Linked DNA regions of Drosophila melanogaster. The protein of the gene in region 2 interacts with the protein of the main gene of each other region in a pairwise test. Each region holds a gene or a part of one and is shown on either strand. Other genes may lie near its edges.

Region 1 (5,271 bases), on a different chromosome or scaffold from region 2:
TTGCCATTTAAGAAAGGTGAAAAGCCGGCCGCGGAAATAGCCCTCGAGGAATTCCCGTCCAATTAATCACCAAAGTGGCCTACGGAACCCAAGAGTCCAAAGGGAGGAAGGGCGTAGAGGAAGATGGTTAAACGTCGCTAAGGGGTCCACTTGAAGCGCGCAAGAGATCGACTGCCGTCTATTTTGAATGTCTTAAGTGCATTAATTTCCGCTTTTTATGCCATTCAAGTGGCCACTCAGTTAAGGGGGCGGACGGGGGTGTGGAGCCCATTGATTGATGGACGTCAAATTGCTGTGCGAAATATGAAGAAGCCTCCTCTACCGATGATGAATGGCGGAGCGGAAGTGGCAGGAAACGTCAGCTTGACTTGATGGTAAGCTTTCATACATCTCTTCAGTCTGAGTTAACCTTTGCTAAGCTGTTTGAGGAGTATACTCGTACTCCTCTACTCAAAGGAGAATCTAACTGCATATCCAATCAAATGTGAAGTACAAGTACCGTCTAAAATTTCCAACATTGTTAGGAAGTGTTTTTATTTGTTCGCTTGGTCGCTTGGTAATGACTAAGTCTACTTAGTGTACTAATTGGCTGAGCCATTCCCTTTGCCAAAAACAGCTGCATAGCTGCACGATTATAAATAGGGTGGAACCACCGACAAACTCGCCCAGAAGCAACAAATATGTGCTCTAGTTTAAGCGACTTGTTTGCCTGTATCAGGGCCCAGGGAAATTCCGACACGGATTCCACCAGCACCACCCATCGGCGGAATATCGCTGACCTGGACGATGAGGCGCCCGATCTGCAGCTCCAACAGGAGCAGACCCGCAAGTGGAACGATCTTTCTATGCCACAGCGACACGATTCGTTTCCAGTTCCTCCTCCTTCAGCTGGATCTCCATCAACGGGCTACCTTCGTCCCTCATTGCGGTCAGCACGGGTCTCCTACGAAGCCTTGGAGCGCTACGATCGAATTTTTGGCAGATCTTTCCAAGACGCCGGGTCATCTGGTTCAGTTCGAAATATTCCCGACCAGTTCTAGGCGGAAATTGTTTGGGATTTCGGCATTGACATTAAACATGTGATCCCGCATATTCCGCTAAAAGTCGAACACAATAAATACATTTTACACATTTTCCTGACTTGACTATATGGACAATTTACTTGCATGCGATGGCTGGCTGGTGTTCGGCGCTGCGACGAAACTTGGCCAAACCATTGGATTAAACATAAAGCTGAAAAGGCAGAAAGTTCGGTTCGACTTGCGTGCGTGAAAGATTGCGAAGGTTTTACCGGATTTGGCCGTCCTCATCCGTACACCTGTTTAATCAGGGGCGTTCTGGCCTGCCAATTGGCGACTTAATTGGAAGGAAATGAAGCGGCGGCCTAAAGCAGAAAACATTTGGCATTAATTGCTGGTGGTGTGCCAAGGGGGGTTGGGGAGGGGGTCCACTTTCCTTCAGACACTTCAGACTTAAACACACAAGTTTTACAAATGTGGCACGCAGTCGCAACAAGAACGGAAACGGAAAATGTTATTTCGCAGCCACGAATGCAATTCCAGCAAACAAATGGCTCACAATGGGTGAAGTAAACCCCCGAAGCCACTACTGCCAAAGGAGGTGACTTTGCCCATTAGTCGGTTTAGGTGTCGTTTGCCGCTCTGCTGAAAGTTTCCAGCGAATGTCGCACTAAAAGTTGTCTTTCTCGCGATTGCGATACAGATGTGAATATATAGGAGGTCTTAAAGGGTGGGTGGACAATGCTGCAAGGAGCATGGAAGCAGATCTTGATGGGCTGCAGTAGCTGTGTCTTATCCGACTCGGAATTGCTTTGGAAGAAACGAGTTCACACTGACTGTATGCTACGACCGGAAGAAGAGCCCAATTGATAGGTCAACAATGAAACAGTGCAACTGCAAACTTGCTTTAGAAACGTATTACTCTGTGGTCTGCGCGTCGTATACGTAATGCGACCTACCGCCCCACAAAACGAAATAAAACATTTTAACAGTTTACAAACAATATTTTCATATTTATACTCATTTCCATCAGTACTCGTAGAGTAAATAAGTCAATAACAAACTTTAATACAGACTATAAGGTATCCGATAGTTGGCACACGACTACGAGTAGTTTCTATTGTTTGGAAAACTGTGCCTGGTTCTTTGGTGCTCCCAATCGAATCCAAACATTTACCATATGTGCGTGCATATACATTTTTAAACTTTTGCACACATAACATGATACACTCAAGTAATCCTATCCCATTTGAAGCTAACGTACACAGCCTTTGTCAGATTCGTTTAACCCTCTCCTGTCCATCGATGACCTGTAGATTGGTTAGGTTATTACGCCCATTTTTATTGGCTTTCAATTCGGATGCCAGTTGTCTCCTCATTTGGTTTGTGTTTTGATTGCAAAAAGTTAATTAAAATTTTGTTGTAATTGAATTTTATTGCATTGTTTGTTTGCATTTTGTTTTGTTCAGTTTTTTTTTTTTTGCTTTGTGCGGAGCTTTGTTTGAGTTTGTCGAGTTTTTCTATTTTTTGCCGTCTGTTTTGTTGTCTGGCCATTATGCCATTTGTTGTCATTTGGTTTTTGCCTTTGGTCTTAATTGGATTATGGCAAAAAGAGTTTTAATTAAACCAAATGAAGCGGAGTGCGGAATGCCAGTGAGTGGCAAGCTTTTTTTGAATCAGATGATGGTTTCCGGCAGCCTGGGATCATCATAACCATCGACGAAGCCTTCGAAGCTATCATCGCACTCCTGGTCGGCAGCCAATGGATTGCGGATGAGTTCAAAGGTCAGTGGCGGCAGCGGCGGCAGTTCGACCTTTACCACTTTCGGCGCTGCTTCTTCATTCGCGGAAGTCGATGGGAATTCCATCATACAGTCGTCCCCGCAGCGTCGGCAGTACAGCAGATCCACCAAGAAGCCCAGAAACATCCCCACCTCTGATTATGCGGTGCTCGCCCGACAGCTGATTTCGCAGCACTGACGATATCGGAGGCCCACCTACTACTATACTACCCTACTACTTCTACAGCCCCAGGCATCCACGCGTTCACAAATCCGCGCTCCAAGCCCCACGCCCCACAATCCACAGCACAGCTGCGTCCACAGCAGAATTCGAAAATGGATGGATTACAGACTCGCTCGTTTTCCGGTAAATCCATCGTCATCGGTGTAAAAAGCAAATGACAAAATTAATTAAAATTAAAATTAAATGTCGCTTGTTTGGCGTTGATTAAGGAGTGCGATCATGCATTATGCATAGCACATTATATCGTATTCACTGCATCGGCATTACGTAATCCACTGTCCACACACACACGCGCGCGCATTTATGCACTTATGCATTTATGTTTGTTGCTGTATAGAATGCACATTATAATTACATTTATGCGCGGCCATCAAATTCAATGGGACTAAAGCATTTGCATAGCGTCTGCACGCCCTGTTTACTCATTAAAGTCGAATTGCGAGGTGGCTTCCGTTCCACAAAAACAAAAAAAAAAAACACTTTTGAGCCCTCTGCAGGGAATACTACTATTTAATACCAAGCATTATTTAGACCAACATAATTGGGGATTTAACGTGAATAAAGTTTCGATTCTACATGGTGCTGTTACTACCCTGATCAGTTCAATGCATTTCTGCTCTGTCCTACTCACTCACTCGCTGTCTGCTGCAACGAAAAATTCAATTTGGCCAGAAAGAAGAGCTTAAAAAAAATGAATAAGAGTGAGAAATTTGCAATCTTTTAATCACACTTACTCACTAGCTCTGTCCCTCTCCTCCCTGGCTCTCTGCGCCTCTCTCCATCCCGCTCTGTGATTTTAATTATGCTTAACAAGCTGAGAAAGAAGCAGCAGCTGCGGCTGAGGAAAATAAATGAAGGCCATTGCTTGCCATCCGCAGGTCCTTTGAGGACTCCCGCTCCACATTTCACACTTTATGGTCCCCATTTGTTAATATTAAGTTGGTTGCTTTATTAAAGGTATTATGATGTCGGAATGTGACTAATTAAACGCACTCGGTCCATTTTTCCATTTTTTTCTTATGCTGATCTTACCCTAGATCTATGCTGCCCTTTGGGCATTGTTTGTTTATATGTTGGATTTTGCTATAGCTCTTCCTATTCTGCCGTCATTCGCCTTTCGAACTTTTTATTGTGTCAGTTAAGAAATATAACGCGGAAAATGCAAATTGGTCACAAATAGCTTATTTATGCGAAAAAGCCTAGAGCGCAAGCAAAAGACAGAAAGTAGGCCAATCATGCCACAGTCAAATTCATGTCAACCGCATGAAGGCCAGGCCCATACGCACCGACATCCTCTCCACACCACTCTCCTTTTTTTTTTTTGGGCTTTGGGTCAAGTGGAAAGAAGAACAAGCACGACAAGAATAACCACAACATGAAAAACTAGGTTAACATGGGTTAAGGTGTGTCATTAACTTGCCACAAACACACATGGGAGGCCTGGGCCGGCATTGAGTTTGCCCCACGGCACTGCACTGCGCGTTTCCCCTCTCCCATTCACCATTCACCATTCCCATTCCCGCAATTTCCATTTTCTCTTTAACCTATCCCCCACATGCATGCAGTGAGAAAAATCAGGTCCAGCAAGGACTACATGTTTTTGTTACTCTGCGTATGCTTAATGTCTTAGCAAAAGGCCCATTTTCCAACAGAGAACGCTGGAGTCGAGTTCCCCGACTATCAGATACCCATTACTCCACCTTAAACCCAAATGGGAGTACAAGCAGCACAGCGCCTATTTCCACAGTTTCACGCGAAAGTAATAATAATACAATTTTGAGCTTCCTTTGCAAGTGTTTTGCCTGCGGAGCCATTAGAGGGGCGTTTTACCACTGCTGCCGACGACTTCTCATTACGTCTAATGTGCCAAGGGCGACTGCTGCACCTGCGCCGGCACTTGCAGCATCCCCGCCTGGCTGAACTAATTAGCAGCTAGGCAAAGTCGAAGGCAGCTCAGCTTAGAGCGGCAAAGTTCTTGCTCTCGGTCGCCATCGAAATTGACACAAATTGGCACAGGGCGAATACATCAGGGCAATCAGATTAGACGATGTCGTCGTCATCACGTCATGTGCGTTGTGTTTTCCCAGTGCGCCTCATTTTCCAGCCCCCTCTCGTTCGCCGACAACTTCGTTTTTTCGCTCCATAGGTAAAAGCTGAGGAGGAAGCCACAGGAGCCACACAGCGATTTTGCAGCTGCTTTCAATCATGACGCACGGATTAGGACTCA
Region 2 (6,542 bases):
GAACAGCGAGCCGGGGCCTCAGGTGACGACTGGATATCGGATTTCCAAGGAATAGGAGAGTTAATTGGATTTAGCGCCAGCTTTTTGTAGTCCCTCCCCCATGCCCATCTACCGCTCTCTAGTTGTTATTGATGCCCCTAATTAATTGCGTCCGTTCCAGCTCTTGAATTCGCATTAATCCTGAAATCCTCGAGTGAGTTATTGACCTAATCCGAGTGCGTGTGCAACAAGTGCGCGTCATAGCTGTCAAGTGCTGACAGAATTGGGCAATGGTTACGCATTACGTTGACGGATGACAAACCCATAAGAGGGTTTCTCGATGCGAATCGCAGGGCTGTCAGGATTGCAGAAAGTGAAAGTCCATACTGACGTTGCACATGGAATTACAACAGGAATGATTTCGCAACGAATAGTTTGTATGATAAGCAAACATACAAGAAGCAATACTTTGGAAATGATTATACATGCATCATTGATCCGTAGCGAATTGATTCCATTCTATTTACACTTTTTCATTTGAAACTCGACATAATCTGGGCAGAAAATCGTTGGAATGACAGGTCAAAGTGCCGCAGACAGAAGCGATTCGAGTGCAAATTACTGACCTATTATGATGTTATTTACCCCCGTGTGTGGGCAAGTTTATTTTCGCCACGTTGACCTTGGCTCGAATGCAATGGGTCTTTAGCATGCAATGCGCAAATTTGCGCCTGGCGGTATGCAGCGGAAACTTCGCTCTGCCGACGGAAGTTGGCCAATGCCACAAGCCCCAAAAACTTTGCCGCTCGCCAGCTGGCCAAAAGCTGCCTTTGGCATTCCGAGCACGCTCCTGGTATCCACACACACACTCGAGCACTAGGACACCCAGACCCCTCGAGCAATCGCAATTAACGCCTGACACGCGCCCGACAAGTGCAGCATGTCAGCCAGAAACGCTAACAACTTGGCCCAAAAGAAGCGAGCCACCAAGCCGGCCGTCGGCAATATAATAATTGATTTTTCGCACATTCCACTTACCGGGCCTAGGTTGTCGAAGCCGTACTTGTCGGCCACATCATGGGCAAACGAGTTGTCCACTCCGCGCCGGAAGCGCACCAGGAAGGAGCTGGTAAAGACGGCGGGGCCGCTCAGTCCCGCTCCCGAGCCGCCTGCTCCTCCGCCCGCTCCTGCACTGGCCCAGTGGAGGAGCAGGAATGGGGCCAACAGCCAGCTCCATGTGGCTGCTGCCATGGAATTCAGATTGGACGCCTTGGTCCTGCGGGTTCCTCCTGGCCTCTGACTCCTGGCGGCGATGGGGCAACTCTGGCAGCCCGTACAAACAGTTGGTGCGTGGGGCGTCCTTTGGGTGATTTTTTTCCGTTGGCAGGATACCGAAGTGCTGACGAAAATAAAGGACGCGCTCCACTGCACACTCTGCGAATTGGCGACGCGAATTGGGTAGCCAGGATCAAGTTGCTCGGTTGGCAAAATATCCTCTTGTTGTGGTTGCAATTTGTTTTCTTTATTGTGTATTTTTGGCCCCTTCTATGGAGCTTGTTGTGCTTTCCTTCCGCCTGAAATTCTGTTTCTATGTACTTCGTCTGGAGTCTTTGTGCGCTGCCACGAACTTCACTGGGGCGCTGCGCGCTGAGTACTGTTCGCCAGCGGTACCGACGGACGCCATTATGAATGTCCGCCAGGCGCCAAAGCGGTGGCAAAAGCTTCGCCGCCGAAGCTCGCTCGAAAGCTCCGACTAGCAGGCGATAAGCCACCCGCCACTCACTCGACGCACCCCTAGCGGAGATACCGTTGTCTTACCAGCTTCGCCAGTGGCGTGCACAGGAATGTTCCAAGGGGCTACTACTGTTAGGCTTACAAAACTAGAAGTACGCTAGCAAAACTAGAAGTACGCTATCATGGTAAAGTAAGTAATATACATATCACACAGATAAGCTTAATCCCCCATAATCCACCCGACTACGCCCCTGCTCGCCTACTGCTGCTCAGCTGCGTTGGATAAGCTTTTGCTATGGCTTTTCCCACCGACTCAGGCTTTCCATCTCGGTTGGCTTGGCTTCTGCAGCGGCTTTGGCTGCCCGCAGACGTCACCAGTTTGGACGCCCGCTGCCATTAGCCACCCACCATTCCGTGCTAAGTTGTAGCTAGTGTTTTGTCATTGGTTTATGCTGCGCTCCGTAAACATATGGCAGCATACTTGACTTTCGCTGACTTTCGGCTGAATGGCACGATTCGGCTGAATGGAGTCACTTGCTCCTGCGGTTCGAATGGCGAAGGGACTACTGACGACTGGAGGAGGACTATTCATAAACATGGGCGCAATTGCCTCTTACGCGTAATGGCTGCGAAAGGGCTTCAACTTTGACCTTAGCCCAAATAGGTTCATAAAGCCTCGAGCACCCAAGCCTTTAAACTGCAGGCCAAGCGAAAAGTGAAGACAGCTGGGGCAACTTTCGCCGGCTTTTCATGCCGACTTGATTGTTGCCTCCTCCCGAGTTTTAAGTGCGAGATGGGATTCACACACTTTGATTTCATTTGCCATAAATTCTGTTTTCCAGGGAAATCCCTTCTTAGACTCCTCATTGCATTTTAAATTTAATTTTATGAACTCCACATAAATTAACATTGGGTAATGTTTGCTTGATTGGTTGCCGGAAAAATAACTCAAGAGATAAATAAGTTGCAGTTTTTATTTGTTTTTCAATACAACTTATGTAATATAAACGAAAAATAAGAAATACTTTTGTATACACTAAATTATTAAGGCTTGGGTCTTGAATGTTTCATACATATATAAAAAACCAGCACAATGTAAGCATTTACATTAGGCTTAATAATATATTAAACAGGTTTATCAATAGTGGAAAAAAGAAAACGAAATATTCATTGAAACAATCGAAGATGATGAGGAATTGGCGTACTTAGGTAACGTGTAATTAAATACTAATTTTGTTGGGTTTATCAGCTGCTTCTCAAGCAACTCAAAGACGCGAAGAAATCCAACTGACCTATATATAACCATAGTCTGAATATTAAAACAGAAATCCTTCGCCTACATTTCAATTAATTTAAAACGCTGTCGCACTCAACGAGCTTCCTATCCGTGAATGAAAGCTCAACCGGGGGACGTCAATTCACTGCCTGTCGGCGACCAGTCGTATCCACCTGTCCGTCTGCGTCCTGCCACCTGTACTGGTGGTACTGGTGGGCGGCGCGTTCGCGGCCCGATAATGCCGAACATATGGCGAGTCGCATGCGCCGAACGAACGCACAGGCCTTCGATGCGAATATTAAGGGTCCTGCTTTAAATTACAATTAATTTTTAATTAGGCTTAAATTAACATTTTCAAAGACGCTTTGGAGCTGCATTAATCAATTAGCGTACTCGTATACAGAATGCTCAGGCAAGGGGGCACGCAAGTCAAGCGAAACAAAACGAAATATCTTAAACTCTAACTTTGCTCATCACAATTGGTACTCGCTGAAGGGAAGCTGATTGTATTCAGGGGCTGGTTACCTAATCGGGTTTCATTTCCGGCTGCCAAAGAGTTTGCCGCGCGCTGCAGGGAACGAAATGATGAGTTTGCTTTGGTCTAGAAATGTTTGACTTCACTCTGGCACTTACCATGCGATGTGGCTGGGGACAGAGCGTGCGAACTGGCGTGCCGTTTGATGCGCGGAGTATCCCTTAGCTCTGAACCAGATGCGGAGGAGGCACTTGTGCAGGCATTTGAATTGGCCGTCACATTGGTCAGGGTGGACACTCCGCTGCACGAATCCCCTGTGGTTGGCATTGATTTGTAGCGCTGCAGCGAGGTGCGCGGCTTCTTCGGCATTGTGGCCTGCTGCACTGCCTCTTCTAGGGCGTTTAGCCAGTCCTCGCCCTCGCTTTCGTCTTCCAGAAATTTCATGTAGAAGGAGGGTCGCTTTGCCGTGTGGTGCCTAGTGGGTGTGGTGCTTGTGCTTGATTTGGGAGGTTCATGGTGTTCTATTTTCGACTCCAGTTGCTGGGAGGCCTCAAGCAGGAAGAGATCCGTCTCCGAGTCGTTGAGGAAGTCTGCCATTGGATCGGAGGCAGCTACAGGGGAAAGCACTGGCTCTGGCGTAGCCTTCGTGCAGGTTAATCTTGTGCGGGGAGCAACAGGTGACGGAGCTTTAGGAGTTTTTAGTGGCATTACTGGTTCGGACACAGCTATTTGCTCCAACTGGCTATTGAGCCTAGCACAGCGCTCCTTAAGAAGAACATTAGCCCGCATCTGCTGTGCCCGCCACTGCTCATTGTCCAGTTGGCTGCGTCTATCCTCGACGCCCTTAAAGGCTATCTGCCGGCGTCGTTCGCGCTGGCTCAAACTGCCTATTTCCGCGGAGTCGAAGCCACTGTCCGTGGTGGCATTGCTGCTTCGGTTCCAGCGCCAGCCCACCTCCGGACTTTCGGTGGCCAGTGTCTGGGAGAAGAGGCAGCTGGGCGAAAGGCTGATGTCCAAACGGGGCGAGAAGTCCACACTGTCGTCCAAGCTGGGCTTGTGTTTGTGTGGTGGAGTGCTCTCCAGGTCGGACGTGATTCCCACTACTGCTGAGGAGTTGGGCGAGCCGGGAGTGTCCACGGATACACTTACATTGTGCCCTGTGCGTACGCTCTGTGGTGAAGCTATTAACAAAGGATTGTTTTATGGATATTCCTGATTTTTCGAGCTTGGAAATCCTTACCACTGTGGCGCTTATGCAGCAGACGCGTGCTGAGCGTTAAAGATCGCCGTTTAAGTGCGTTCTCCATAACTTTGACTTAACAATAAAGTGAACTGCAGTCAATTATTTAACTAATCAAATTTGTTTTGTTTTGCGCTGCGGAATGCGCTAAAAATTAAAGTAAGCCGACAGTGTTGCCAGATGGCACTGTCAAAACTCACATGGTCACTCTGCTATTCAACTCGTTTTGTTTATAGCCCTTTTCCACTTAAACGCATAGTTTAATAAAAAAATCCACTCTCCAAAATCTATGAAAATATTTTATCTTTAAAATACAATCAATTTAAATTTTCATCTACATATGTTCTTTTATATAATGGCTGACTTGATGATATTTCTGTTACCACCAATGCAAGAAATCAGTTATTTGAGTACTGAGACATCCATTGGCACATAAATCCATATATCGCAATAAGATGAACAATAGGAAATTGTCTTAAAGAAAGTTTAGTGTATAAATAAAATAGTGTATAAATTTACATATAAGTAAACTTACGGAGTAAACGTTATAAAAATAGAGAAATGTACAAATATACAAAATATAATACAAAAAAAAAAAAAAACAAAGATATCTATAATTTTTTTTTGTAACTTTTAGTATTTTATCTATCGGAGTGCAAACATTCTGGTAGGCGGTCATGCTTTGGTATTTGGCAACACTAAACTCCGGTCACACAACAAAATGCTTATGGTGATGTGTTAAAAAGCGAAATTTTGAATACAATTTACTGATCCAGAAAGATGAACTACAATCCAAATCCGGGTATGCGGAACCGTAAGTGGGAGAACTGTAAGGATCAGGCTACGCAAGCAAGTATACCTGAAGGATGTCCGGTGCAGCCACTCCGGAATTTCCCCACCCGCCGCTGACCGGAATCGGAATCCGGAGTGCTGTCACTGTTTACGTTACACGTTACCCCGTTTTGTGCGCCGCTCCTGGCTTCCACTGCATCCTGCTCCCCAGTTTCTATGCCTGCTGTGCGTTTCCGTTCCGTGATGCGTGTGTAGCTTGAGTGCCTGTGTTCCCCGCTTCCCAGTTGTATCGTTTAGATCCTCCGGCACTAACTAATGGTTGCTCTGTCCCAAAATAGCCTCAGCTGCCGGTCGCCCAAGGCCGCCGAAGCGTGTGAGTGATGTTAACGCCATGGGACCCTCGGCTCCGATGATGGGCGGTGGCGCCACCTTCATGGCCCCGCCCACCGGCCCCGGAATACTAGATCCCAATATGTACGGAGCACCTGCTCCGGCCCCGGTCAACAGCTATGGCTTCGACCCCAATCTCGGCCAGCCCTCGCAGCACATTCAGCAGCCACCACAACAGCAGCCCGGATACGGATATGGAGCACCACCTCCCCAACAGGCGGCTGGGCCACCCACCTACGGAATAGGAGCACCTCAGCCTGTAGCTCCACCCACTGGACAGTACCCACAGTTCGCCATGTTCCAGCAGCCCATCGTGCAAGACATGGCTATGCAGTACGGTCAGAAACTAGCGGATCAGGGCAAGCAGATCATGGAGAATCAGTTCGAGAAGTGGGTGCCCGTAGCCAAGCTCAAGTACTACTTCGCAGTGGACAACGCCTACGTGGGCAGGAAGTTGCGCCTTCTGTTTTTCCCCTATATGCATAAGGTGAGAGTGGTGAAGCACAAACGGAGAAACCATATAAATTACATACTCCTTTCAGGATTGGTCCCTGCGCTACGACCAAGAGCACCCAGTGCAACCACGATATGATGTTAATGCGCCAGATCTCTATCTGCCCACCATGGGCTACATCACATACGTGATCGTAGCGGGT

Evidence for each region. The genes of interacting proteins can lie anywhere in the genome.
Region 1: the proteins of CG6425 (region 2) and CG3713 interact in a two-hybrid assay, tested with the Drosophila melanogaster proteins (one large-scale study listed by BioGRID).

The regions. Positions count from the first base shown.
Region 1 is NC_004354.4:844,157-849,427, forward strand, and holds CG3713 (uncharacterized protein), read right to left. Parts: upstream 3,002-5,271; 5' UTR 2,948-3,001; coding exon 2,696-2,947; 3' UTR 2,015-2,695; downstream 1-2,014. Other genes in the region: CG14635 (uncharacterized protein), read left to right, coding at 681-1,040.
Region 2 is NT_033777.3:26,712,494-26,719,035, forward strand, and holds CG6425 (uncharacterized protein), read right to left. Parts: upstream 4,897-6,542; 5' UTR 4,772-4,896; coding exon 4,705-4,771; intron 4,646-4,704; coding exon 3,623-4,645; intron 3,558-3,622; coding exon 3,526-3,557; 3' UTR 2,672-3,525; downstream 1-2,671. Other genes in the region: amon (amontillado), read right to left, coding at 1,018-1,230; Yif1 (Yip1-interacting factor 1), read left to right, coding at 5,485-5,533, 5,835-6,373, 6,429-6,542.